Canis lupus familiaris: one gene and its partners. The main gene of each other region encodes a partner of the protein of the gene in region 7 in a complex. Links are inferred from orthologs where the notes say so. Each region holds a gene or a part of one and is shown on either strand. Other genes may lie near its edges. The genes, in order: KAT2A, YEATS2, TADA3, MBIP, TADA2A, KAT14 and SGF29.

Region 1 (4,156 bases), on a different chromosome or scaffold from region 7:
TTATGGTAACCAAGAGAAAGAGGCCCTTACTGGTACCAGCTGTAAGGGGGTGGTGGTGGTGAGAGTGACCTAGAGCTGAATCTCCCCAAGTTTGAAATTGAGGGCTTGTATTAGCCTTGCCCCCACCCCCCTCCAGATTATATTGGGGTGATGTGCAGTTTGTATTTGAAAATAGTTGGTCTCTGAAACAACAGAAACCACCTCTTGGGGTTTTTTGGTTAGTCTGTACCTTGTGAAGGACTGGGTCTTCTCATCCTCTTCCCAGGTGATCTCTGGAACCTTTGCCTGGTCTTCAGACCAAGAGACCACCCCACATCAAGTCCAGTCTTTGTATCTATCTGATCTCTGGTCTGCCGGGGCCCTCTGCTGGTTGTGGAGCCTGGTGCCCCCGCTGCCATCCTGGCCCTCTGCTGCTCCCTGCTGGAGCTGCTGCTGTCATTTGCCCAGCACAGGGCTGTTGGTCTACTGAGCCCCGGACCCAGCTCCTCCCGGGGCCACAGAGGCCTGATTCTTGTTGGACCACCACCGTAAAGTGCTTTTCCTGCCTCCCTAAGCCCTCCACTGGCCCTCTCTCTACCTCCATTATGCCTCCACCTTTGATCCCAACCCCAAGAAAAGACCACAGAACACCAAGGCTGCTGCTGCACACTAGAATTGTTGTTTACTGGGTCAGGGTAGGTTGACCTTTCTTAGAGCCATGGCCTCGGAGTCTCGGGGATGGGCCTTTTTGGGCTTCCTGGGAAGGCAGCGCCCTGGCACTGGCCTCCGACGCACAGCTGGCCGGAGGGGGTCATGCTGCAGGTCACGGCAGTGGGATCCAGGTCCGGTGGTAGTTGGATCTGCCGATGCACCCTCTGCGCCACACGGTAGCCAGCCCCATCTGGGCTGCAGCCCTCCAGTTGCCTCTGGCCGGTCACCATCAGACATTGGCCGTCCACTTGCACCACCAGCTCCTCCGGGGCAAAGCCACAGGCATCCACCTTCATCTGGAAGCCATTCTCTGCATGGAAGTTGTTCTGCGCAGTCACCACATCGTCCCTCAGGAGCCGTACGGGCAGTGTGGCCACCTGGTTCTGTTGGGCAAGGGCCACGCTGGGACAGCGGGATGCCACCTGGCTCCCGCTGGGGAGACCGCTACCAACCCGCTGCATCCGACTGAGCAACTGCTGTCCGAGGGCGAGGGCGCGAGGCCCTGGGCGTGGCTCTGGGCGCTCGGTGGCGGCGGCGGCGTGGGGGGGGGGGGGGGCGGGGGTGCGGCTGCGCGCCCTGGGGAGAGGCCCTGGGGCGGCCTGGCTCCTCCGCTCCTCCGCGGCCGCCTGCTACGCCAGTCCGGTCTCCGCAGGCCTGGTGGTCACCGCCCTGGCGCGCCACTGCTGCTCTCATCCTGGCTCCCGGGGCGGTGACCCACCAGCGCAGACCAGCCGACCCTGTAGCGCTCACCAGCGCAGGGCGGAGGCGAGATGGAGCCGGGCTCTTGCCCTTCCCAGAATCAGGCCTGAGGACAAGAAGGGCTGTCCCCTGAACCGAGCCCGGGGGTGTGACCGTGAGGGTCTTCCATCCTGACCGCGCACGGTCTTGTGACACGGGGCTTAGGAGGTGACCGCGACTTCCTGGTTTCCTTCATTCGTCAGACTCTGGGTCTACTGTGGCCGCCTGAGGGCTGGGCTCTGGGACAGAAGGAAGACGCGAACCCTGCCTTCAGGCGCTCACGGCTTTTATGATAATCCTTTATTGCTGAAATATAACATAATAGAAGAAGCGCACCAGAGAGTACCACTGAATTATCCCCCAGAGAGCACCCCCATGTAGCCACCTCCACGGGGCAAGAAATGGAAGTGTTGCTTCTTAATCTCCGCTGTGGCTGCACTTCCGTGTCCGCAGACGTGTGGGACAGGGACAGGGGGTGGAGGGGCGGAAGCCAACACGACCCCGGGCAGCATCTGTGATTCCCCTCAACAGGAGCCTGTTTTCTCAGATGCTCCTCCAAGTCCCCAAGAAAACGGCAATCCTCGCTATCCCATAAGACTTCAAAGAGATTAGAAGTGAGGAGGAGACAATCTAGGGTAATGGCTCAGGCTTCACTTGCTTGTCTGGGGCCAAGAGGCAGGACAGAAAAGTCTGGAAGCCAGAAACGGAGGGAGCGGTCGTGGAAGACTACAACTCCCATCATGCTCCGGCGCAGCGACGCCTGCGCACCGAGCGCCGGTTGCCCATGCGGCCCTAGGGCTAGGAGCGCCGCGCCGCGCTCCGCTGCGGGGGAGGCCATGGCGGAACCTTCCCAGGCCTCGACCCCGGCTCCGGCCACGCAGCCCCGTCCCCTTCAGTCTCCAGCCCCTGCCCCACCTCCGACTCCTGCCCCCAGCCCGGCTTCAGCCCCGACTCCGGCTCCCACTCCGGCACCAGCCCCCGCGCCAGTTGCAGCCCCAGCCGGCAGCACAGGGACTGGGGGTCCCGGGGTAGGAAGTGGGGGGACCGGGAGCGGAGGGGATCCGGCTCGACCTGGCCTGAGCCAGCAGCAGCGCGCCAGCCAGAGGAAGGCGCAAGTCCGGGGGCTGCCGCGCGCCAAGAAGCTTGAGAAGCTAGGGGTCTTCTCGGCTTGCAAGGTGGGGGCGGGGCCTGGGGTGAGAAGGGGCGGGGCTTGGGGCATCCCAGGGCTCCGGTGGGAATGGGGGCAAATCTGTGGCTGGGGATCGGCTCCCCGTGCCCGGTTACAGGGCTATTGACCGAGTTTTCTAACGCCAGGCCAATGAAACCTGCAAGTGTAATGGCTGGAAAAACCCCAAGCCCCCCACTGCACCCCGCATGGACCTGCAGCAGCCAGCTGCCAACCTGAGCGAGCTGTGCCGCAGCTGTGAGCACCCCTTGGGTAAGGCAGGTAGTGCCCTTGGAGCTGGGGCGGGGGCAGGTCCTGGGGCCTGCTTGGACAGGATAATTTAAGTGCCACTGAGTTTTATCTTTGGAACCAAAAATGCCTCCGAAGGAGGGATTGGGTTGGGAACATGTATCCCTCCCAAGGGAAGAGAAAGGAAATTTGCCAGCCCGGAATAGACAGGGTCCACCCAAGGCTGACATAGTAGCAGTCAGTCTCACTACTGGTCATGCTGTTTGGAGCTACCAAGGTTGTAAATTGGTGATGAAGAGTGAGAGAGAGCTCTCGTCATCTATCCTTTCTTTCCAATCCTACCACCTTTCCTTCTTGCAGCTGACCACGTGTCCCACCTGGAGAATGTGTCAGAAGATGAGATTAACCGGCTGCTGGGTATGGTGGTAGACGTGGAGAACCTGTTCATGTCTGTTCACAAAGAGGAGGACACGGACACTAAGCAGGTCTATTTCTACCTCTTCAAGGTGAGCTTCATCCAAGTGAGTGTGAATGAGCAAAGGAGGTGGGGCTGGACTGGGGAGTTTGCAGCTCTGAGCTCCACTGACCTCTACTCCTCCCTCTTCCTCTTCCTCCAGCTCCTGCGGAAATGCATCCTGCAGATGACCCGGCCAGTGGTGGAGGGCTCCCTGGGCAGTCCCCCATTTGAGAAGCCTAATATTGAGCAGGTGGGATGAGGAAGGTAGTAAGAGAATTGGGGGCATCTTGGAGGAGTGAGGAGCCTGTGTTCCCCATCTTCCTCAAGCTGAGAACAAGGGACAGGTTCAGAGAAGGGAGGATGTTCAAGATGGGCATGGGGCTGGGAAGGGGGCACAATTTTTCTTCACAGAGAGCCCGAGTGAGAGGGGAGCTTTAGCCTGCCCTCAGGAAGCACCAGATTTTGTATAAGAAACCCCTGCTGGCCGCTCACGTCTCCTTCCTGGTCTTGTTCCCTACCCACCCCTTCTCAGGGTGTGCTGAACTTTGTGCAGTATAAGTTTAGTCACCTGGCTCCTCGGGAGCGGCAGACGATGTTTGAACTCTCAAAGATGTTCCTGCTCTGCCTTAACTACTGGAAGCTTGAGACTCCTGCCCAATTTCGGCAGCGGTCTCAGGCTGAGGATGTGGCTACTTACAAGGTCAATTATACCAGGTAGGGCTGGCCAAGGCCAGCGGGGGGTGGGGGAGGGGGTAGGGGTGGGGGTGCTTGTGCTCGTAAGCCCAACCTGGGTTTAGTGTCTCCATTCTCCATCCTACCTCCCCTCTGCCCGCAGATGGCTCTGCTACTGCCACGTA
Region 2 (3,500 bases), on a different chromosome or scaffold from region 7:
GAGGAGCCCAGAGCCCCGCGGGCCCTGGAGGGATATCCCAGCACCTGACTTACACATCTTACATCCTGAAGCAGACTCCTCAGGTCTGATCATTCGTGACTGGTATCTTTCAAATCCTTTAGTTATTAACAACTTCCTTTAATTATACTGGATTTGTTTTTACATCTCTGGGATTGGGAGTCAATACTAACACTATAGCCACATGGAATCTTTATTATTTTGAGCTTGTTTTGAGAGGAGATAGAAGTTCAGAAAGACTTAAGTACGAGATCTCTCTGCTAAGCCAATGCTAGAATTTGGATTTAAACTCATAGCTTTCTGACTCAATTTTTGCTACACTGTTGCCTCCCAAATCCATGAGTTAATGAATAGTATTAAGAGACAGTTGAAAATTTTCTCTTGCAAGGGAGTAACCAGAGGAATACTATCAAGTTTTGGTATTTGGAGTTGAATTGGATTCATGATTAAGAATAAGTTTCTGCCTTCTTTCCCCTAGTTGCTTTTAAATCTTGACTCCTCTCTTAAGGAAGGTCGTGGAATTCTGGTCTAGATGTTCTTAATGAGAAGGATGGGTAGTTACCAGTCTGAATAATTCAGATTTAAAGACTAGGTTGTAGAACTTGACTGTCCAGCAGCCTGCTCCATAACTACTGTGCAGAGTTTCAGAAGTGGGGCTAGCTAGCTGTTGGTAGTGGAACTGAGGGCAGAGCTGTTCTTTTTAGTTATTTTGGCTGAGTTGCAGAATTGAAGGTGAGCATCGTAGCTTGTAACATGGGACCTTGTGATTTATAGGGTCAGGGCAAGTCATTTTCACTTAACAAATTACTGAGTAGATCTTTGTTTCTAACTTAGGGTACATTTTTAGTTGGTCAGCCATCACCGCAGACATCTGGAAAACAGCTGACTACTGGATCAGTGGTCCAGGGAACCCTGGGAGTCAGCACATCTTCTGCACAAGGACAACAGACGTTAAAAGTCATCTCTGGACAGAAAACCACTTTGTTTACCCAGGTAAATAGGCAAACACACACACATACCCCAAATATAGGATATTATGGCATTTATTTAAACATTTACAGCTTCTTTCTTTCCACAAAGAAATTAAAGATGCGAGATTAAAGATGAGAAAATAAACAATTAAATAGTATAAAAAAATAAGAATAAAATCTTGAGATTTGAGAAAACTATGAGTTAGAAATGAGAAGATAAAGCCAGAGTTATTAGATACGCAGTTATGTCTTTTATAATTACTAATACTTGCCAAAGCAAATCAAAAGCATGATCAGTTACAAAATTCACACTATTTGTGAGATGCAAAAGAAATACACACATAATACTTTCTTAAAAAAACAAAATTTTCTTGCTACTTCATTCTAAAACTTCACTGGAGAAACTTCATATAAGAGATTCTGAATAGTATAATAGATAATTATAGCTACAATATCCATATACAGTTGGCCCTTGAACAATGTGGGGTTTAGAGGTGCCAACCTCTCAGGCAGTGGGAAATTCCCATGTAACTCTACTTCCCCCACTAGTAATAGCCTACTGTTGACCAGGAGCCCTGCCGATAACACAAATAGTCAATTAACACACATTTTGTACGTTATATGTATCATATACTCTATTCTGACAAAAAGTAGCTAGAGAAAAGAAAATGTTATTAAATAATAAGGAAGAGGAAATATTTACAGAACTATACTGTATTTACTTTTAAAAAGAAACAAAAACAACCCATAGGGTACCTGACTGGCTCAGTCAGTAGAGTTTGTGACTCTTGATACCAGGGTTGTGAGTTCAAGCCCTACATTGGGCATGGAGTCTACTTAAAATAACAATTAAAAAGAAAAGACCCATGTATAAGTGGACCTGTGTAGTTCAAACCCCGTGTTGTTCAAGGGCCAGCTGTAAAAAGTAAATGTTGTAGGGGACTTGGTACATGTTTCTACAGCATTCTTTAGTGTGTAAGCCAAAGAATAGCGACAGGGCATTTTAGCTGGTGAGGGATGTCAGAATCACCTGCAGGAGAATCTATAGCTAGATCTCAAAAAGTTGACCAAATGAAGCAAACAAGGTATAGAAGGATAGGGGCAGTGTGATACCATTTATCAAAAAATCATTCATTTTCTCTGTGTGTAGATCAATAGTTCTCAAAGCATGGAATGTGGATATTGGATTTTCGTCAAATATTTTTTCTGTGTTTTATTGAGAAGATCATGTGTTTTTTTCTTTTTTTGTTGTGGTGAATTACATTAATTTTTAAAATGTTAAAATGGGTGCCTGGCTGGCTCAGTTGGTGCAGCATGTGACTTTTGATCTCAGGGTCATGAATTAGAGCCTTACATTGGGCATAGAGATTAATTAAAAAACATTTTTAAAAAGGTGTTAAACTAGCCCTGTACTCCTGGAATAAACCCTACCTCGTTGTGACATATTATCCTGTTTTAATGTGTTGTTGGGTTTCATTTGATAAAACTTTGTTTAGAATTTCTGTGAGAGTTATTGGCTAGTGGTTTTCTTCATAATTCTTGTCTGATTTTGATATCAGAGTAATGCTGGCCTCCTAAAATGAGTTAGCAACTTTTCTTTCCTGTTCAGTTTTTCATGAGATTTTCGGTAGAATTGGTATTATTTCTTCCGTGACTTTTTAAAAAAAGATTTTATTTATTTATTCATGAAAGACACAGAGAAAGAGAGAGACATAGGCAGAGGGAGAAGCAGGCTCCTTGCAGAGTCTGAACTGGGACTCAGTTCTAGAACTCTGGGATCATGCCTTGAGCAAAAGGCAGTGGCTCAACTACTGAGACACCCAGGTGTCCCCCTTAACTGTTTAGAGTACACCAGTGAAGCCATAATGACCTGGAGTCTTGTTAATTGGGAAGGTTTTTTAACTACAATTTAAATTTATTTAATAGATACAGGACTATTCAGGTTATTTGTTTTGTCTTGAGGGAGGTTTGGTAAGTTATATCTGTAAAGGAATGTGTCCATTTCATCTAAGTGGTTGAATTTACTAGACTAAAATTGTTCATAATTGTCCTTTATTATCCTTTTAATGTTTGTAAAATCTTTAATGATGGCCCCATTTTCTTTTCTTTTCTTAGAGAAAGAGTGCCCAAGTGGGGATTGGGGTGTTGTGGGGACAGAGAGAGAGAATCTTAAGCAGGCTCTATACCCAGCATGGGGCCTGCTGCAGGGCTCGATCTCATGATCCTGAGATCATGACCTGAGCTGAAATCAACAGTCAGATGCTTAACCAACTGAGCTACCCAGGCGCACCCCCCTTTCATTCTTGATTATGATAATTAAGCATCTTCTCTTTTCTTTCTTAATCATCAGTCTTTTCATATTAGTAGTATTTGGTTTCTTTGAGTGCTAATTTCCCTTTGGTCGGATGCGCTTAGTACTTAAACAGATATGAGGCCCCAAAATTCTTTAGGCAGTTCTTTTAAATCTTAGCTTATTTCTTCTTACCTGCTTATGGTTGCAGCCAGTGTGGT
Region 3 (3,500 bases), on a different chromosome or scaffold from region 7:
CTTAGCAGCTTGTCAGCAGTTCCCTCACTTTTTAATGGTATAACTCTTTACCAAAGCTCATTTGTAGACCACAAGCCTTTGCTCTGCCTCTCCTCCTACCCCCCAGGACAATGTATAAGAGACAGGCAGAACCAGCCAAATCATGTGTGTCCTGCCTTGTTGGAGCTATGTGAAGCGAAGACACATAGCTTGCCAATGAGGCTGCTTCTCTACCTTCCCTCAGAAAGGCAAACAACTACCATAATCTCCCTCCAGATGTCACCTATACTTTTGTCATGACCAACACAGGGCAAGATGGATGGGAGTCAATATAAAATGAAAGATATTGTGACCAATTGCCTAAATAACGGATACTAAAATACTGGACAATTTCAGTGAAGGGCCAATAATAATCACAGATGTCCAACAAAATTGTTAACAGTTGATAAATCTAGAGAGTATATTGGTATTTATTGTACTGCTCCTTCAGATGTTCTGTGTTTATGAAAATTTTCATAAAAGTATGTTGGGGGAAAAAGAAAAGAAGCATAAAAAATAAGTCACACAACAATGTGAATATAAGTAATACCACTGAACTATACGCTAAAAAATGGCTTAAAGAGCCAATTTTATATGTTTTTTTTCCACCACAATTCCAAATAGGTAAATAAATCCATCACAGATGCCTGAGCCCTAGAGTCTGTGGTGCCTGGCAATGATGTTTTTTCAAAGGCTCTCTAGATGATTTGGAAACCCTGCCAGGTTTAGGAAACCTGTTATAAAACCCCCAGAAGGTGACTGGCAGCGGCCCAGGCCTTCTCCCTAGGCACCCCCCCCCACCCCCGCCCGGCCATGTAACCCATCCACACTCACCTCAGCAGGTCATGCTTCTTGGTACGGTTATGGGCACTGAGTGCCTTCAGCTCAGCCTGCCGTTTGCGCAGCTCAGCAAGGACTTCATCCTCTGAGTCCTCTGCAGGGCGGTCCTCAGACTCCAACAAGCCCTGGGCAATCAGCTCCTCCTTGATGCGGCTCTCAAGGGACTTGGTATGTGGCACACTACAGAGGAAGAGAATCCTGAGCTCAAGGGCCGCCTTAGACGGGGGACCCCTGAGAGGTTCCAAGGTTAGTGAACACATTCTTTTCTCTTTGGGTACCCCCTCTCTATCTAGGTATAAAAATATAGAGAAAATGTTAAGGGCTGAAATCATGAAACTCCTAGAAGAAAATCTAGGAATAAAGCTCCTTGACATGCGATGGGTCTTGGCAATGACTTTGGCTGTGACACCTAAAGCACAAGCAACAAAATAAACAAGTGGGACTACATCAAAAAACTACTTCTGTACAGCAAAAGAAATCATCAACAAAGTGGAAAGATAACTTACAGAATGGGAAAAAATATTTGCAAATGATGTATCTGATGAGAAGTTAATATCCACTATATATAAAGAACTCCTATAACTCAAAAGCAGTAAACCCACTCAATTAAAAACTGGGCAAAGGTTCTCAATAGACATTTTCCCAAAGAAGATATACAAAAGGCCAACAGGTATATGAAAAGATGCTCAACATCCCTAGTTATTAGAGAAATGCAAATTAAAACCACAACAAGTTATCACTTCTGGCCTATTAGAATGGCCATCATCAAAAAGACAAGATCACAAATATTGGCGAGGATTTGGAGAAAAGGGAACCCTCCTGCACTGTTGGGGAAGGTAAACTGGTGCAGTCACTGTGGAACACCATGTGGAGGATCCTCAAAGAATTAACAACAGAACTCCCATATGATAAGCCATTTCAATTCTGAGAATATGCATAAAGGAAATGTAAATAACTAACTTGAGAAGATATCTGAACCCCCATGTTCACAGCATTATTTATAATAGTCAAGATACAAAAGCAACCTCGATGTCCATTGAAGGGCAAATGGATAAAGAAATTGTGGTATATATACAAGATTATTCAAACTAGAAAAACTAGGAAATCCTACCAATTGTGACAACATGGATGGACTCTGAATGCATTATGCTAAGTGAAATAAGTCAGAGAGAGAATAACAAATACCATACAATCTCACTTCTATGTGGAATCTAAAAAAAAAAAAAAAAAAAAAAAAAATCAAAAAACAAAAAACTCAAATTCATAGAAAAAGAGAGCAGACCTTCCACTACCAGAAGCAGAGGATGGGGGGAGGACAACTGGAAGAAGGTGATCAAAAGGTACAAACTCCCAATTATGAGATAAGTCCTAAAATACCATATACGACATGACGACTGTACCTAACACTACTGTATGATACATAGGGAAAGTTATGAAAAGTGTAAATCCTAAGAATTCACATCACAAAGGGAAATATTTTTTTTTCTTTTTCTTCTTCTTGTATCTATGTGAGATAGATGTTAGCTGAACCCATTGTGGTAATCATTTCACAACACACGTAAATCAGGCCACGTGAGTGTTTTGTACATGTACACCTTAAACTCACACAGGGATGTATATCAATTATTGTTCAATATGCTGGAAAAAATATAGAGACAGACACATCTGGTCTTGTTTCAAACACAAGCCAACACATAGCCGTTGTCAAAGAATATAGAAAAACCTATAATGCCAACAACTTAGAACCACTATCTTTTTATGTTACTATCAAAAACATTAGTTATTTTGCTATTAATGTTACATATACAAAAATATATTTTATGATATATTCCTTATATACCATACATACTTCAGATTTTGTTACCTTATCTCCAATCTTTTCTCTTTTTTTTTAAGATTTTATTTATTCATGAGAGACACAGAGAGAGAGAGGCAGAGACACAGGCAGAGGGATAGGCAGAATCCATGAATGGAGCCCAATGTGGGACTCAATCCCGGGACTCCAGGATCATGCCCTGGGCTGAAGGCAGGCGCTAAACCGCTGGGCCACCTGGGCGTCCCTCTCCAATCTTTTATTACACATTATTTTAGTTTTTTTCCCAATGTGCACATATTTAAGTATATGCTGAGTAAAAACAGGATCAAACCCTAGTATGCTCAACTGACATGTTCTCCTTTTAGCACTCTATTGTTTACAGATTTTCACATCAATTAACTATGTTTCTCTAAGATGATTAATAGTTACAAGTTATTTCATCATATGGAGTCACAACTCTATCCAACCAATCCCCTTCAGATGTACATTTAGGTCATTTACCATATGGAAAGCACTATGATAAACAACCCTGTACTTAAGTCTATTCGTGCTGGGACGCCTGGGTGGTTCAGTGCCTGAGTGTCTGCTTTTGGCTCAGGGTGTGATCCCGGGGTGCCGGGATCGAGTCCCACATCGGGCTCTTTGCATGGAGTCTGCTTCTCCCCCTGCCTACGTCTCTGCTTCTCTCTGTGTCTCTCATGAATAAATAAAATCTTAAAACAACAAAAAAAAGTCTATGCATGCAGAAATGCTGAGTCTTTCTGCATATTTAAAACTTTCATTGGGGGATGCCTGGGTGGCTCAGTGGTTGAGCACCTGCCTTCAC
Region 4 (4,003 bases), on a different chromosome or scaffold from region 7:
GTATTACATTAGTTCAAATACTGATGTTATGAGTTGTGATTCTAATAAAACAAAAAGATGAATCACTGTACAAAGAACCAGAAATCCAAAGTTACCCAAAAAAGGCAGTATACTTAATGAATACTGTATGACAAAAATTTACCACCTTTTCCATGAGACAAGAAACATTTAAAGTCTGTATCAGACAACTATAAAGAAATAAGAAATTTTGGATAGGCTACACTGGCAGAGATTAGATTATATTAACTAAAGTTTTACATTAAGATTACTGCATTAATCTTAGTTTATATTATTTAATTACTGTACTTCTACAGTCCTCTAAGAGATCTACAGTTCCTAACAAATTTATAAATAGAGTTTTGGGATAACACAGACAAATCCTCAACTAAAGTAAAGCATCAAATTTCCTAAAGAAAATAAACAAATAAAATAAATCTTAATGTTGGGATCATATTCTCCTTTCAATTCAGCATAATTATGTAAGCCTTTCAAGCACAATTAAAGACACTTGGTTTTTTTAAAGAAAACTACATAATGATACAAATTAACTTTAAAATTATCATAATATATCCAACTATTTATTCAACAAATTCCCTATTAGTAATACGAATTCGATGCATTTTTACCCTTTATAACTTGTAAACGTAAAGCATTCACTCAAAAATGTATTGGTGTGACATTAATATGGACTATTTAAGTAAGCATTTTCCATAAAAAATTAGTATGAAACTCCAAGCTAACAATAAATAATGCTTCAACTTGGTAGAATGAGCCATGCTGTGGCAAGCAATAAGGTTAAAATAAGTAAATTTGAAATCTGGGATACTTTTTAACATTCAATTTTATGTTTCCTATTGAGGAGAGCCAACAATATAATGATACTATGCAGAATGAAACTAGGCATATTGAAACTTACTTTTTTTTTTTTTGAAACTTACATTAAAAAAAATATCCTATAAACTTGTTGCAAAAGTACATAGTGATTTCCTCCAGGGGCAATTTTATAATATTGTGGCTTTCATTCTTCCCTTTAAACAATACATCTCAAAATATAAAGACTAATATCAAAATAGTATTTAATTGATGAGACAATGATTTAATTTTTTGACACCTGTATAGATGGTCCCTTCAATGTGTCATGTAAACTTTCCAAATATGTACTCTCAACATTTTTGACAGGTGACATAAGTAAACTTTAATCACAAAATACGCGAATGTTTAAAATCTGTAAATGAGTTTTAAAAATTCAGTATGCAAAAATATTTCAAAAGAAATGTTTAAATTATTTCTTAATGTTACTTTAAAAAATTTATCACCACTGAAAATAAAACTGTAAATTACAGGTAAGCATAAACTTTTTTCATCGTGACATTAAAATATAAATAAACCTTAAAATTCCAATATCCAAGACAGAAAACGTTCTCAGACTTTTAACCATTACAGGTCTTGGGTGATAAGACTAAAATGTTAATGTCCCCAAGTCTTTAAAAAATTTTAATAAGTTGGCGGCAAACAACTGAGCTCAACAGTTACAACTTTTAGCAGATTCTGTTAATAATTGTTCCGTTAGACCAAATTAAATGTTTAACTTAGAGTAATGCTTTTTCTAAGGACAAACATATTAGGATTTTTAAAAATACTGAAATAACCTTTTAAAAAATTAATTCTCCATCCACTCACGGCTTTTAAAAATAACTTTTTACAAACTAGACAGGTGTTGTTTTCATAAACATTATCCTCGACATAAATGTTTGCTGTGCCTACTACATGCACTAATACCAACCCCATAACAAACTTTTAGAGTAAAAAAATATTCCGTCTAAGATACAAAAGATTTCCTTTTTAAAAGCAAACAAACTTATTTTCAAGTTGTTTATCATTTGTAATATGCTTTGCATTTTATTTCATGAAACAGTTGACTTGATTGAATAGTGTAAGGAGTACTTTTATTTAAACCCAATTTATTATGACATTTCTGCAGAAGCTATTCATCAGTCAGTTAAATTAGCTAATAATTAAATGACAAACAGTTCTGATGCAAACTCTATCAATCATGGATAACTCATCGAATTTTATGCAAGAAGTATTTACATTAATTCCTTTCATTTTTCCTCCCCATATGAAAGGGTAAGAGATGCACATGTAACAACCAGAAGGAAAAAAAAAAAAAGAAAGAAAACCAAGTGACTCCTAAAAGCAAATCAACCCCCCCCCCCCCCCAAAAAAAAAGCGGAGAGAGCTTTGCCAAAACTCTCAGGCCGTTACTTCTATCAATTTCTATCACAAATTCACTGAAGGATAGGGGATGCTGAGCGCCAGGCACCCTCCAAACCCACAAAGCTTTTTACGCCTTCGCTCTCTCCAAGCATGTTCTTCTGGGAGCCAGGTTTTTCACTTACACTATCCTCTCACTCTTGGGGAGAATTGCCAGCCCGTACGGCCTTCCTCGCTCCGACCGCAGCTAGGCTCAGGCTCCTCCGCCGGCCTCAGTACTCAGTCCCGGTCCCCGGCAGCCCTAAGCAGCCCCCCGCCTCCGCTAGAGGAAAAAAGGGGGGAGGGGCCGGAGAGTTCCCAACCCCCTGCTCTGCTCCCACAGACCACCACTCACTTGTCCCACCAGGCTATGCAGTGAGCGAAAGATTTCGCGGAGCACCTCTTGGGAGAGATTGGGGCTGCAGCTCCGTTCCGGACTCCTGTCACCACTGCTCGAGAGGCTAAGCTCAACGGCAGCAGCCATGACACCTTCGCAGGCTACCCCCGCCACCACCGAGCTGTGCTCACAACACCCGCCCCCCTCGCCCGCCCGCTTGCGTCGCCGGTAAATGACGTAAAAACACAGCGTCTCGTCCGGCCCGGGCCTTCGAGGACCCTCGTGACTGACAAGCCGGTGCGCCAATCAGGTGCAGCTGGAGCGTCACGCCAAGGAGCCGGAGCGGGTAATTGCCGACCTGGCGGAGCTGCGTACGGAATTTGGGACGGTGATTGGGGCGGTGGTCTAGGGAACGTTAGCGTCTGAAGCCTGTCTTGTGTTTTTAGGTGTTGCTTATGAGTGTTGAAGAGGAGACTTAGACCTAAACGTCAGAATTTTAGAAGTTAAAATTTTAGCTTTTAACATGGCGCTGTGGAGTGGTCTGGACAAAGATTGCTGTTCGGGGGTGCAGCAGGGCCCACACCTCTACACCCTGGAAAACTCTTTCACGTACGCTTGTATTTAGAACATTTTCACTTCTGCAAAGTTTAAAAACTTACACAAATTAACGTGACTAATTTTTCATGTGAGGGAGCAGAGGCTATAAAAGAACAATAAAATGCTCTACTGTTCCTGCTGTACTATCAATGGAAGAAAGGACATTAATTACTTTAAATCTGCAAAATAATTATGTCAAGTTTTAAAACGTGCATCAGTTGCTATTCTCTGAGTGATACTGTAGAGACACTCACCTAAACCTTTCAAAGAAGTGAGACACTCAAAACGATTCTAACAGTTTAATTCAAATAAGTAATTGCATGCAGCACAATCTTTGAAATTAGAAAAAATAAATGCGAATTGAAATTTGACAGCGTATTACTCATCAGATAGATTTATTAAAAGATATTTGAAGTACTTTTATAGTCCAACATTTAAAAGCTTTATGTTCAATTGAAGAAAAGAACAAAGGTTAGAAGAATTTTAAATGTTAAGCTCTATTAAAAAACAAAACCCGTCAGTTCAGAGATTAGGGACAAGGTATTTAAAATTCTTAATTCTAATAGTCTAATGCATTTACAGTAGAGGAAGCAAAGGTAGAAACTTGCACAATATGTATTCTTCAGTTTTAGAGTAGGCTGAATGAAAAGGAGCAGAATAGGCATCAGAGAACTGGAATGGGGTCAGTAGGGATAAAAGAACGCCTTTGACCTGTCCCTAGGGAGCCTCTTAATTAGGCTTTCATTTCCAAAGATCACCAGGCTTGACAGGATCTTGAGAAATCTTGTCTGTTCCCTTGTTCACAGCAAGATATAC
Region 5 (3,500 bases), on a different chromosome or scaffold from region 7:
GGGATTGAGTCCCACATCGGGTTTCCTGCATGGAGCCTGCTTCTCCCTCTGCCTGTGTCTCTGCCTCTCTCTCTCTCTCTGAATAAAAAAATAAATAAATCTTAAAAAAAAAATACAAATGATCAGACCATGCATCACAAAATTTTAAAAGACTGAGACTAAAAATTAGAACACAAAATCCTTTTTTTGGGGGGGGCACAGCAGATTCTCAAATCTAAAGGAGCACCTCTCTTTTGTCATCACTCTTATTTTACCTGAGATGATCCATATAATGGAATTTATAAGAATTAAACAGATGAGTCTTTACCGGAAAGACCACTCATTCCCAAAAGGGAAAGCTTGTTTTAAAAAAACCCACATCACTTCAAACAGAGACTTCCTCTTTGTGTTTAGAAGAGACTTGCCCCCCAAACAATGTGTAGCTTAATAAGCACACTTACTACAAAAATTGGTGATGCCTGCTGTCCTGTATTCCTGGAGCCTCTTGATTTCCCTTCGGAGTTCAAATTCCACTGTTTATCCCAAAAAGAATGAAGGAGAAAAATTGGAAAAACAAAATCATCATCAGTAAGCACTGGTGCTGTTGAGTATTTTCAGTAATACTGCCTTATACAAAAGACAGGGCAATTCCATGTGAGGAATCCTATTATGTTAGTGACATCTCATTAGAAATTTTACTCAAGAACTGAGAAAAATCTACTCTAGCCATCTTTTCGCTGCCATCTCCAACTGGAAAAAGCAGCTGGAATTGTCTCCCAGAAAACATACAGTAAACTGGCTGAGTTCATTTAGCTACAGAAGTAACAAATATAATTTTCTTAAACAACTAAGTTTCCCTGCTCTATTTATCCTCTAATAACAGTTTTATCCACGTAACCAAATTCTTTTATAAAACCTGTCTCTGCTATTACTTGATGTGGTCCTTTTGCAAGCAAAAGACAAAAGCTCTGTGCTCAAGTCCTAGATAGTTTCTTGACAGCTTTTCTCCTATAGGAACAAAAGAGCATTGTTTTCCATAGACCAAAGATTTCTTCCTCTGAGTGCACAGATCAGGTTGCAACTACTTGGGTTATTATGTGATAGAACATTCAAATTTGAGTGCTTTGAAACAGAGGATGAAGGAAGAGCCTGGACAATCCATTGGGTGTAGTTCTTTAGAGTGACACATAAACCAGGGATGGCACAAACTGGGGCAGGAAGTAAAAGATCAGTCACCTAGTACAAATCACAAAAAGAATGCCAACCAAACAGGGTGTTTGATGAGGACAACCGACCTGGCTCAGATAAATGCCTACAATGCCATGCAAGAAATATTTGCATGATGAGAACAGGACAAGAGCCCTGGTAAAGCATTTTCCCCAGGACTAAATTTGAGGGTCAAATACACAAATCTTGTGATGAAAAGGTATAGACTAAGCCACTTAGTCCAAATTATTTTAAAATGTAAGCCTTATGGCCTTAACAAACTTTAATTTTTTATAGTGAAAAATCAAATGAATTCTCTCAGACAGGCAAAAAAAAAAATGGCAGAAGCACTGGGGTGCCTGGCTGGCTGAGTCAGTTGAGCATGGACTCTTGATTTCAAGCCCCAAAGCCTGGGATTTGCTTCAAAATAATCCAGTTGAGGGTGAGAGAAGAGGGGGTGATAAAAATGAAAGTGGATTGGTCATGTATTAATTGCGGAGCTGGGTGATAGTTACATGGGGGTTCATTACACTATTATCTCTACCTTTGTATATATTTGAAAACTTCCATAATAAAAAGTGAGGGGAGAAACTACTAAACTACTGCTTAGCTGAGAAAAAGGAAAGCTACTGGGCTTTTTAACTCCTTCTCTTCCACCCCTGAAGTCCCAAATTTAGTTCAAGGTAATAAAGGGGAAGAGAAGACAAAAATATCCATTTATTTATTTATACAACTTCACCTAAAACATACCATTTTGTCTATTTATATCAACACACACAAACACAAATATTTGCACAAGGGTTAAAAAGCACCTACGTGCATGGCTTTCAATGAACTTGTCGTGCTCCACTGGCCCCACTATCCTTGCAAATCGCCTCATTGTTTCGTAAAGGTCTTGGACTTCCTTGGGATACCGTCGTTCCATTACTACAGAAAAAATAAAACACGACCATGCCATAGAAAAAATAAAAATCTCTACATTCTCATTAAATGGAAGGACAGACACTATTCCTAACCTGACTAATTTACCCATGACAGGAAGCAAACAGGAAAGCCAACAATGCAAAACACTAATCATAAAGATAACAGCATCACAGTGACTATCACATAGGGATATTGTTATTCCTGGAGAACTGAAGATCATCTGCATTACTGAACAGCCTGTGACCTCCACACCTCAGTCTCTTAATTTGTACAGGGGCAGGGACTGCTGGTAGTAATGGGAAAGACAAAGGTAGATCATGCATTTTTAGGAACAATGTTGGGCAAAATTTCTGGTATTAACCTCTGCAGGAAAACAAGGGAAATGCAGACACAATAATCCATCTAGAAGAGGCAGACTAGCCTATAAAAAATGTGTGATCTCTTCCATATCTACTAGAAATCTCCTTACCAACACATCCTCAAGTGAGACATTTATTTCTTCACTCTCTATAAGGGTCGTTTTGCCTTCCTCTAAGTACCACAACTTAATTTACTACTAATGAAATTATATTTTCATAACTATCATCCAAGTAAATGGTCATATATACAGGGTAGCCACAGTCAGTAACTCTGAGGATCACTAATGACCACATCCCCCCACCCCACTTTTTTTTAAGATTTTATTTGTTTATTCATAAGAGAGAGAGAGAGGCAGGCAGACGGAGAAGCAGGCTCCATGCAGGGAGCCCAATGTGGGACTTGATCCTGGGTCTCCAGGATTAGGCCCTGGACTGAAGGTGGCGCTAAACTGCTGAGCCACCTGGGCTGCCCTAATGACCACATTCCTAATAAAAAGTACTATCAGCAAAGAAGATGGGGAGTAAAACCTACCAACAATAAGTGGTAGGTTGGAGTAGCCAGGAACTGCTACTTGGTCATTTCATTCAGATGAACTAAGCTGAAACTTATTAGGTGAGTTAATCAGTAACTAAGCTAGTTCTGCTCACTTCTAGAGTATAGATACATGCTTTCCATTATGATAGTTATTTAAATTAAGTCCTCTTGGGCAGCCCAGGTGGCTCAAGTAGTTTAGCACTGCCTTTGGCCCAGGGCCTGATCCTGGAGACCCAGAATCGAGTCCCATGTCAGGCTCCTTGCATGGTGCCTGCTTCTTCCTCTGCCTGTGTCTCTGCTTCTCTCTCTCCTCTCTGTGTATTCTCAGAAATAAATAAAAACAATCTTTAATAAATAAATAAATAAATAAAGTCCTTTTTTCAGCTGAATCTCTTCCCTTGAAAGAGAGATTCTTATCCACAAAGTTCAGGTGCTGATTTCATGGGCAGCCACTGATTATTTTCACTACCAAAAAACCCCCCACAACCAAAAGCAAA
Region 6 (3,500 bases), on a different chromosome or scaffold from region 7:
TTTAATCTTCCATCTGGGCTCTTTGCTATAAAACCTTAATTGCACATGTTCTGTTACTACATGGTGAGGGCCCTGGAGCAGCACTCCCTAGTGCTGGCATCTCTAGTCAGGCTTCCAGGGTGAAGCCCACCTGTTCTATCAGGACACCCACCTAAGGAACACAGAGCCACCTCCTCATTCAACCCCTGGTAGGGCCTCTCTGCTTTCATGATTTGTCATAGGAATGATAGTCCTACACCTGTTAAATTTACTCATCGGAATAGAGGCATTTTTTAATAAATCTGTATACAGGAGCAGCTGTAATTGGTCCCTGCTGCTCTGTGGATAACAGAATACTCCTGCAGCAGAACCCACGTTTTTAGTGTGTTAATATCTGATGACTGTGGATTGGAGATGTTATTAGGTAGAATGAAACTTACAGAAACCGTAAATCCAGTGCTCGGTCTTGAATTTCACTCACTTAAATGACTTAAGATCTTTAACTTAAAAATTTTTTTAATTATTTCAATTTTAAACTGTGAGAACCAAGATTGGTTTTTCATATCTAATTTTATGTGGTACCTGTGAGATTTGTATTGAAATCTGAGCGTTCCGAATAAGTAACACAAAAAGGCCTACTTTCTGACACATTAGAATATGTACATACTAATTCTCTGAAATCAAACCAATCCTTTCAGTGACTTTATCTTGACATAACCAGCGTTTCTTTCTCCTAGACTGCCTTGCCATCCAGGAAAGGATTTCGGCACCAGACCACTAGGTTTCTATATCGTTTGGTGGGATCGGAAGATATGGCTGTGGACCAGAGTATTGTCAGCCCTTACACCTCTCGGATCTTGAAACCTTATATCAGGTATGTGGAAAAGAGCTGTGATGTTGAGTGTGTTGTGAGGAATGGTATTTGTGGCTTCTGTGCCCTGGTTTCCCATTGGAGCAAGTCTAGACCAACCCCTGTGAGCAGGCATTGACACAGACTGAGTCTGTGCTCTGTGTTCAGTCTTTTGTTTGCTTCAACTATACGTTTTTTGCAGAAATGATGGTCCTTTGAAAGAAATATAAAAAGCAGGGTGCCTGGGTGGCTTAGTCGGTTAAGCATCTGCCTTTGGTTCAGGTCAAGATCCCAGAGTCCTGGGATCAAGCCCCATATCAGGCACCACACTCAGCAGGGAGTCTGTTTGGGATTCTCTCCCTCTGCCCCTCACCCTGGCTGTGCTCTCTCCCTCACTCACTCTCTCTCAAATAAAATCTTTTCTTTTTTTTTTTTAAGATCTTATTTATTTATTTATTTATGAGTGAGACATGGAGAGAGGCAGAGACATAGGTGGAGGGAGAAGCAGGCTCTCTGCTGGGAGCCTGATGTGGGACTCGATCCCAGGACCCCAGGATCATGCCCTGAGCTGAAGGCAGATGCTCAACCACTGAGCCACCAAGGCGTCCCTCAAATAAAATCTTTAAAAATAAAAATAAAAATAGAAGAAATTAAAAAGCAAGGATAAGTTAACTCCATTAGACTTCATTATGAGTATTATACTCATTATTGAGTTTCTTTAAATTTTAAAGTTATATATATTCAGTAGTCTGTGAAATGAAAAAAAAAAAATGGGAGAGACATCTCAGTTGGGCTCATATTTGAGGGTGATGATGAGTCTCATTGTCTAGGCAGTGCTGTGGAAGCTAAGCTAACTAGAGAGGTCCCTAGTGCTGTCTTGAGAAAGTTGTGTTGTCTTATTGACCATGCTTTCTCTAGATCACCTGATCCTCTTTGCCCAGCACCGCCATCCCTGGCAGAGCCTGTGAGAGGCCGCATGCAAGCCTGCCCCAGCAGCCCCGTTGGACCTGCACCCTCCCTCCTCAGGCTCTTTCCTGGGCCAGAGCACGCAGGCTGGAATCAGGCTGCTGTGTGTTCCCTCATTCTGTCCATTAAGGCTCACCAGCACAAGTAGGGTTCCAGAGTACAGGTACAGAGTGCTTTGGTCTGATGCATGTTAATAGAGAGAATTTTATTTTTAAGGTTTTATTTGAGATAGAAAAGAGTGAGAGAGAACATAAGCAGGGAGCAGGGGGAAGGAGAAGCAGAGTCCCTACTGAGCAGGAAGCTGGATGCAGAGCTCTGTCTCAGGACCCTGGAATTATGACTTGGGCCGAAGGCAGATGTGTAATTGACTGAGCAACCCAGGCACCCCTAACAGAGCGAATTTTAAATTTCATTCCAGAAAACTGTCAGGCTATCAAGTTACCAAGCTGTCTGCCATAGGAAGTAGCACAAGTTAGCTTAAAATTTTCAGGCAGAATAGTTTATGTGAATAACTTGGCTAGGAATAATAACGGATATTTTTCTTACTTGAATTTGTTGTTTTCTGTGATCCTGGAGGCGTGACTATGAAACAAAGCCACCCAAACTGCAGCTCCTGTCACAGATTCGTTCCCACCTGCACAGGAGTGACCCTCACTGGATGCCGGAAGCCGAGGCACCTCTTGATTACTGTTATGTCCGGCCAAATCACATCCCAACGATAAACTCTATGTGTCAGGAGTTTTTTTGGCCTGGTATGTTCCCCTTCGAAACTAAGCAAATCAGTGTTTTGTGTAGTTCACTTTATTGATTTTTTTTTTAATTAATGTATGTCGTGTGATTCTAAAACCTTTACTCATGATTTCATTTAGTTTGTCTCTACTAAGATAGAAATAATAAAATATAAACACGTTTTTTTTTTCTGAGATCAAAAAGAAGCCAGCAATTAAAGTAATAAATAGTGTTTTTGTATGTTTCTCTTCCCTGTCTCTGCTTCCAGGATAAAAGTTTCAACCTGTTTTGCTTCTACATAAGTTTAGATACCAAATAATGTCTACCAGTGATACACTGACTGGTAGCTTGGGCATGTCTGGACACTTTTGATTTTTTGCTTAATAATTCTGTGATTTTGTTTATTTAGCTATTCCTTGGGGAGAGTGTTAGTACAGCCAAAAGGCATTTTTAAAAAGCCAAATACCCCAATTGCAGACTTTGAAAATAAGAGTAAACCCAGTGTGATTTGTCATTTTATCAGCCTCAATATGTTGTCTCTCTGAAGACCCAAGCCACCAAGTAAAGGAATGAATGCATTTTCGTCACTACATATAAACATGTTCTTTGTGGATCTGCCTTACTGCGCTGCTTTGAAACGCAAGAGAAATATTACATGTCTTCTAGATGTTAGATAAGATATCATCGGGATTAGTGCTGTGTCATCTTTCTTGTCTGATAGTCAGGTAATAGTGCACGTGGTGGTAGAGTTGTGCTCATTCTTTTAGGAGTGGTATGGGGGCCAAAAGGAACATTCCAGAAGCATCTGCTACTTCTGACCTTACTCTGGGTGCCTCCAACATTATGCATACAATTATTTTGTGTTTATCCCCTTTATTGTAAAATGTAGCATTTGTACAAAAGAGCTTGTCAGCTGTATATGTATAAGGTGAAGAACAGGACAGTATGGGCTCTCGGGGTCTTTGCTCCCACCCTT
Region 7 (3,022 bases):
TGGGAGGGGTTGGAGGTCATTACCAGCGCTAAGAGGCAGGGGCTCTCAGTGACCCTCTACAGACTTGGAAGATTGTGCCCCGTCCCCTAAGGCTTCTCTCCCCCTTGTACCTGAGGCAGTAGCCTCCTTCCTGCTACCCTCCCCCACTCACACTTCTTGCTGCGGTAAGCAACCTGCTGCTTTGTGAGAACCATCCTTCAGATGGGAGTTTACAGAGGGTGTTGGCTTCCAAATCTGAACTTTTAGACTGCTGTGGCTCTCCCACCTCTCTTACCCTTTCAGTGAACCCACAGTAGGCAGGCTGCTTGCCTATCAAAACGTCACACTGCCAGTTGGCTTTGTGCAACTTTGAGTGTGTTGAGCCATGCCTGAGAAGGTCAGGAGACTGTCTACATTCTTTTTTTTATTGAATGACATCTACTCAGTAGAGGACTGACCTAACTGTACAGAGAACTTTATGAAATTTTCACTAACCAAGCAAACAGATGTGACCAGTACCTCAGAACCCTTCTTTTGCCCTCTTTGGTTCCTTCCCTGCAAGGGGATCTTGAGAGCAACATCTACCAGATCTGTGAGAGCAGATTGGGCCTCTGACGGCAAGCATCTGCTGGGGGGCCCTTGGTGGTAATTAAGGAGGTGGGCCCCAGGCTGAGCTCCACTGATGGCTCCGTGCACCGGTACAAACGAGGGTCCGGGGCAGGAGCCCCATCTCTGGGGCCTCAGGGGCGCGCTTCCTTCCTGCAGCGGCCAAGATCGCGGGCCTGTACAATGACTCGGAGCCCCCCCGGAAGACCATGCGCAGGGGGGTGCTGATGACGCTGCTGCAGCAGTCGGCCATGACCCTGCCCTTGTGGATCGGGAAACCTGGTGACAAGTGAGGGCAGGCCCGGGGTCAAGGGGCGGAGCTGACAGGAGGGAGGGGCTGGGACTAACCTCTCAGTTCATCCTCAGGCCCCCACCCCTCTGTGGGGCCATTCCAGCCTCTGGGGACTACGTGGCCAAACCTGGAGACAAGGTGGCTGCCCGGGTCAAGGCCGTGGATGGGGATGAGCAGTGGATCCTGGCTGAGGTGGTCAGTTACAGCCACGCCACCAACAAGTAAGTGGACACCCGGCCCTCCGTGGACTCTCCCATCTGTAGGCTGGGAGAAGAGCCCCCCACCCCACTCCAGGGTCCCTGTGGGGACAGGGATGATGTGTGACTCCAGCTCCCTGGGATGCTTCCCCTCCTCATCGCTCTCCGGTTCGGACCGTGCATCTCCCTGCATCCTCTGTTTTCTCTTTGTTCTCCAGGTATGAGGTAGATGACATTGATGAAGAAGGCAAAGAGTGAGTGTTGGGCAGGGAGGGACCATGGAAGCTGCTGGGAAGGAGCCTCCCACCTGGCTGTGGGTTGATCTAAGCCCCCCTTCCAGGAGACATACCCTGAGCCGGCGGCGCATCATCCCTCTGCCCCAGTGGAAAGCCAACCCAGAGACAGACCCCGAAGCCTTATTTCAGAAGGAGCAGCTCGTGCTGGCCCTGTATCCTCAGACCACCTGCTTCTACCGTGCCCTGATCCACACGCCCCCACAACGGGTAAGGTAACCCCTGCAGGGGAGACAGACCATGACACCAGGACTGGGCTGACCAGATGGTCTTGGGGTCACCTTCCACTTTTTCCCCTCCTGTCCTCATCTGACAGCCCCTCTGAGCTAAGAGAGTCCTGCAAGTTTCTCCCTCTCTCCTGCTTACTCTGCCCCATAGGGGCCCTCAAGCCCTGTCCCCTAAGGCAGTGCCAGCTAATCCTCAGAGTCCTAGCAAACCCCGAGTGGAATGGAACCAGTATATCCTCTAGTCTCACCCCACTTTTGCACTGAGACGAGCAGCCCTGAGGTGGGAAGCACTGTGCCCAGGACCTGTCTTCCCTGCCTTGACTCATCCACCACTGGCCTTTCTTCATCTGAGGCCATGCTCCCTTGTGCTGGTGACCCAACACCTGATGGCAGCTTCAAGGCTGCTCTGCTTGCTTCCTCCAGGATCCCTGCCTGCTGCCCTCGGTGTTTTCCCTGATCTCCTTCTTAGAGGGTCCCCAAAAGGCACCAGACTCTCCATGTAGAATCCCCCCAACGTAGACCGCGAATCTTCCTCCTCCCTGCTCTTTGTCCCCTGGCACTTTGTTGCCGAGAATAGGGTTGTGTCATAGCAGGAACTAAATTCTGAGTGAAGATGGGGACAGGAGAGGCTGGGAGCCCGTGTACCAGAGGTTTCTGTCAGTCTGGGCTGGGGGGCCTTGCCTGGGGGTCTCTGACTAGCCCCTCCTGTCTGCCCCCTGCCGCAGCCCCAGGATGACTATTCAGTCCTGTTTGAAGACACCTCCTATGCAGATGGTTACTCCCCTCCCCTCAATGTGGCCCAGAGGTACGTGGTGGCTTGTAAGGAGCCCAAGAAAAAGTGAAGTGGGCTGGCAGACTCAAGATCTCCTGCCACTCCCCCAGGGGAATGCAACAAAAGATTGTGGCAAATAAATATTGTTCCCCTTTGCCCACGTCTCCTCGGTTTTGTTTTTCCAGGCCCTTCTGCCCCTCCCCATACCAGGGCAGGTTGGGGAATTGGAGAGCTGGAGGGAGGGAAGATAGCTTCATTTGATCCCAGGGGGAATTCCTTCCAGCTCAGGTTTGCTTTTTGCTTGCATTAAAGGCTCTCAGTGTAATACCAATGGAATTTTATTTTTGAAGCTGGGGGCTGGCTGTGTCAGAGCACGGGGCCTTTGGGTGCCTCCTGGGGGCACTGCTCACAGCTGTGTGCGGAAGCTGAGGCCACAACCCTCCATCTTCTTGGCATAGTCGGCATCAAAGCGCTCATTCTGGGCCACAGTGAAGGTGGTCTTCCAGTCCCCCGAGATGCCTGTGGGTGGAGGAGAAGGTGGCTGCAGGTCCCGGCTGCAGAGCAGGCCCCAGATGGCCCAGGCCAACTCTTGCCTCCGTTTTCATGTTTGCCTCCCCAGATGGCCATCCTGCATGGGTACTCACCTTTCCTCATGA

The links.
Region 1: SGF29 (region 7) and KAT2A share a complex: the UniProt entries of both Homo sapiens proteins name them as parts of the ADA2A-containing complex. The link is inferred for Canis lupus familiaris from reciprocal best matches to the Homo sapiens genes SGF29 and KAT2A.
Region 2: SGF29 (region 7) and YEATS2 share a complex: the UniProt entries of both Homo sapiens proteins name them as parts of the ADA2A-containing complex. The link is inferred for Canis lupus familiaris from reciprocal best matches to the Homo sapiens genes SGF29 and YEATS2.
Region 3: SGF29 (region 7) and TADA3 share a complex: the UniProt entries of both Homo sapiens proteins name them as parts of the ADA2A-containing complex. The link is inferred for Canis lupus familiaris from reciprocal best matches to the Homo sapiens genes SGF29 and TADA3.
Region 4: SGF29 (region 7) and MBIP share a complex: the UniProt entries of both Homo sapiens proteins name them as parts of the ADA2A-containing complex. The link is inferred for Canis lupus familiaris from reciprocal best matches to the Homo sapiens genes SGF29 and MBIP.
Region 5: SGF29 (region 7) and TADA2A share a complex: the UniProt entries of both Homo sapiens proteins name them as parts of the ADA2A-containing complex. The link is inferred for Canis lupus familiaris from reciprocal best matches to the Homo sapiens genes SGF29 and TADA2A.
Region 6: SGF29 (region 7) and KAT14 share a complex: the UniProt entries of both Homo sapiens proteins name them as parts of the ADA2A-containing complex. The link is inferred for Canis lupus familiaris from reciprocal best matches to the Homo sapiens genes SGF29 and KAT14.

What each region holds. Positions count from the first base shown.
Region 1 is NC_049230.1:20,651,246-20,655,401, forward strand, and holds the start of KAT2A (histone acetyltransferase KAT2A), read left to right. Parts: upstream 1-1,356; 5' UTR 1,357-2,066; coding exon 2,067-2,603; intron 2,604-2,742; coding exon 2,743-2,866; intron 2,867-3,202; coding exon 3,203-3,348; intron 3,349-3,459; coding exon 3,460-3,549; intron 3,550-3,831; coding exon 3,832-4,013; intron 4,014-4,134; coding exon 4,135-4,156. Other genes in the region: HSPB9 (heat shock protein beta-9), read right to left, coding at 690-1,151. UniProt on the Homo sapiens protein: Protein lysine acyltransferase that can act as a acetyltransferase, glutaryltransferase, succinyltransferase or malonyltransferase, depending on the context.
Region 2 is NC_049255.1:16,916,523-16,920,022, forward strand, and holds part of YEATS2 (YEATS domain-containing protein 2), read left to right. Parts: coding exon 1-83; intron 84-852; coding exon 853-1,011; intron 1,012-3,500. UniProt on the Homo sapiens protein: Chromatin reader component of the ATAC complex, a complex with histone acetyltransferase activity on histones H3 and H4. YEATS2 specifically recognizes and binds histone H3 crotonylated at 'Lys-27' (H3K27cr).
Region 3 is NC_049241.1:8,529,778-8,533,277, reverse strand, and holds part of TADA3 (transcriptional adapter 3), read right to left. Parts: intron 1,039-3,500; coding exon 853-1,038; intron 1-852. UniProt on the Homo sapiens protein: Functions as a component of the PCAF complex. The PCAF complex is capable of efficiently acetylating histones in a nucleosomal context. The PCAF complex could be considered as the human version of the yeast SAGA complex.
Region 4 is NC_049229.1:15,070,287-15,074,289, forward strand, and holds the start of MBIP (MAP3K12-binding inhibitory protein 1), read right to left. Parts: upstream 2,801-4,003; 5' UTR 2,738-2,800; coding exon 2,609-2,737; intron 1-2,608. UniProt on the Homo sapiens protein: Inhibits the MAP3K12 activity to induce the activation of the JNK/SAPK pathway. Component of the ATAC complex, a complex with histone acetyltransferase activity on histones H3 and H4.
Region 5 is NC_049230.1:37,195,765-37,199,264, reverse strand, and holds part of TADA2A (transcriptional adapter 2-alpha), read right to left. Parts: intron 2,113-3,500; coding exon 2,002-2,112; intron 513-2,001; coding exon 441-512; intron 1-440. UniProt on the Homo sapiens protein: Component of the ATAC complex, a complex with histone acetyltransferase activity on histones H3 and H4. Required for the function of some acidic activation domains, which activate transcription from a distant site. Binds double-stranded DNA.
Region 6 is NC_049245.1:5,328,165-5,331,664, reverse strand, and holds part of KAT14 (cysteine-rich protein 2-binding protein), read left to right. Parts: intron 1-716; coding exon 717-853; intron 854-2,371; coding exon 2,372-2,547; intron 2,548-3,500. UniProt on the Homo sapiens protein: Component of the ATAC complex, a complex with histone acetyltransferase activity on histones H3 and H4. May function as a scaffold for the ATAC complex to promote ATAC complex stability. Has also weak histone acetyltransferase activity toward histone H4.
Region 7 is NC_049227.1:18,345,519-18,348,540, reverse strand, and holds the end of SGF29 (SAGA-associated factor 29), read left to right. Parts: intron 1-744; coding exon 745-874; intron 875-951; coding exon 952-1,098; intron 1,099-1,292; coding exon 1,293-1,328; intron 1,329-1,414; coding exon 1,415-1,577; intron 1,578-2,319; coding exon 2,320-2,436; 3' UTR 2,437-2,522; downstream 2,523-3,022. Other genes in the region: SULT1A1 (sulfotransferase 1A1), read right to left, coding at 2,773-2,885, 3,011-3,022. UniProt on the Homo sapiens protein: Chromatin reader component of some histone acetyltransferase (HAT) SAGA-type complexes like the TFTC-HAT, ATAC or STAGA complexes.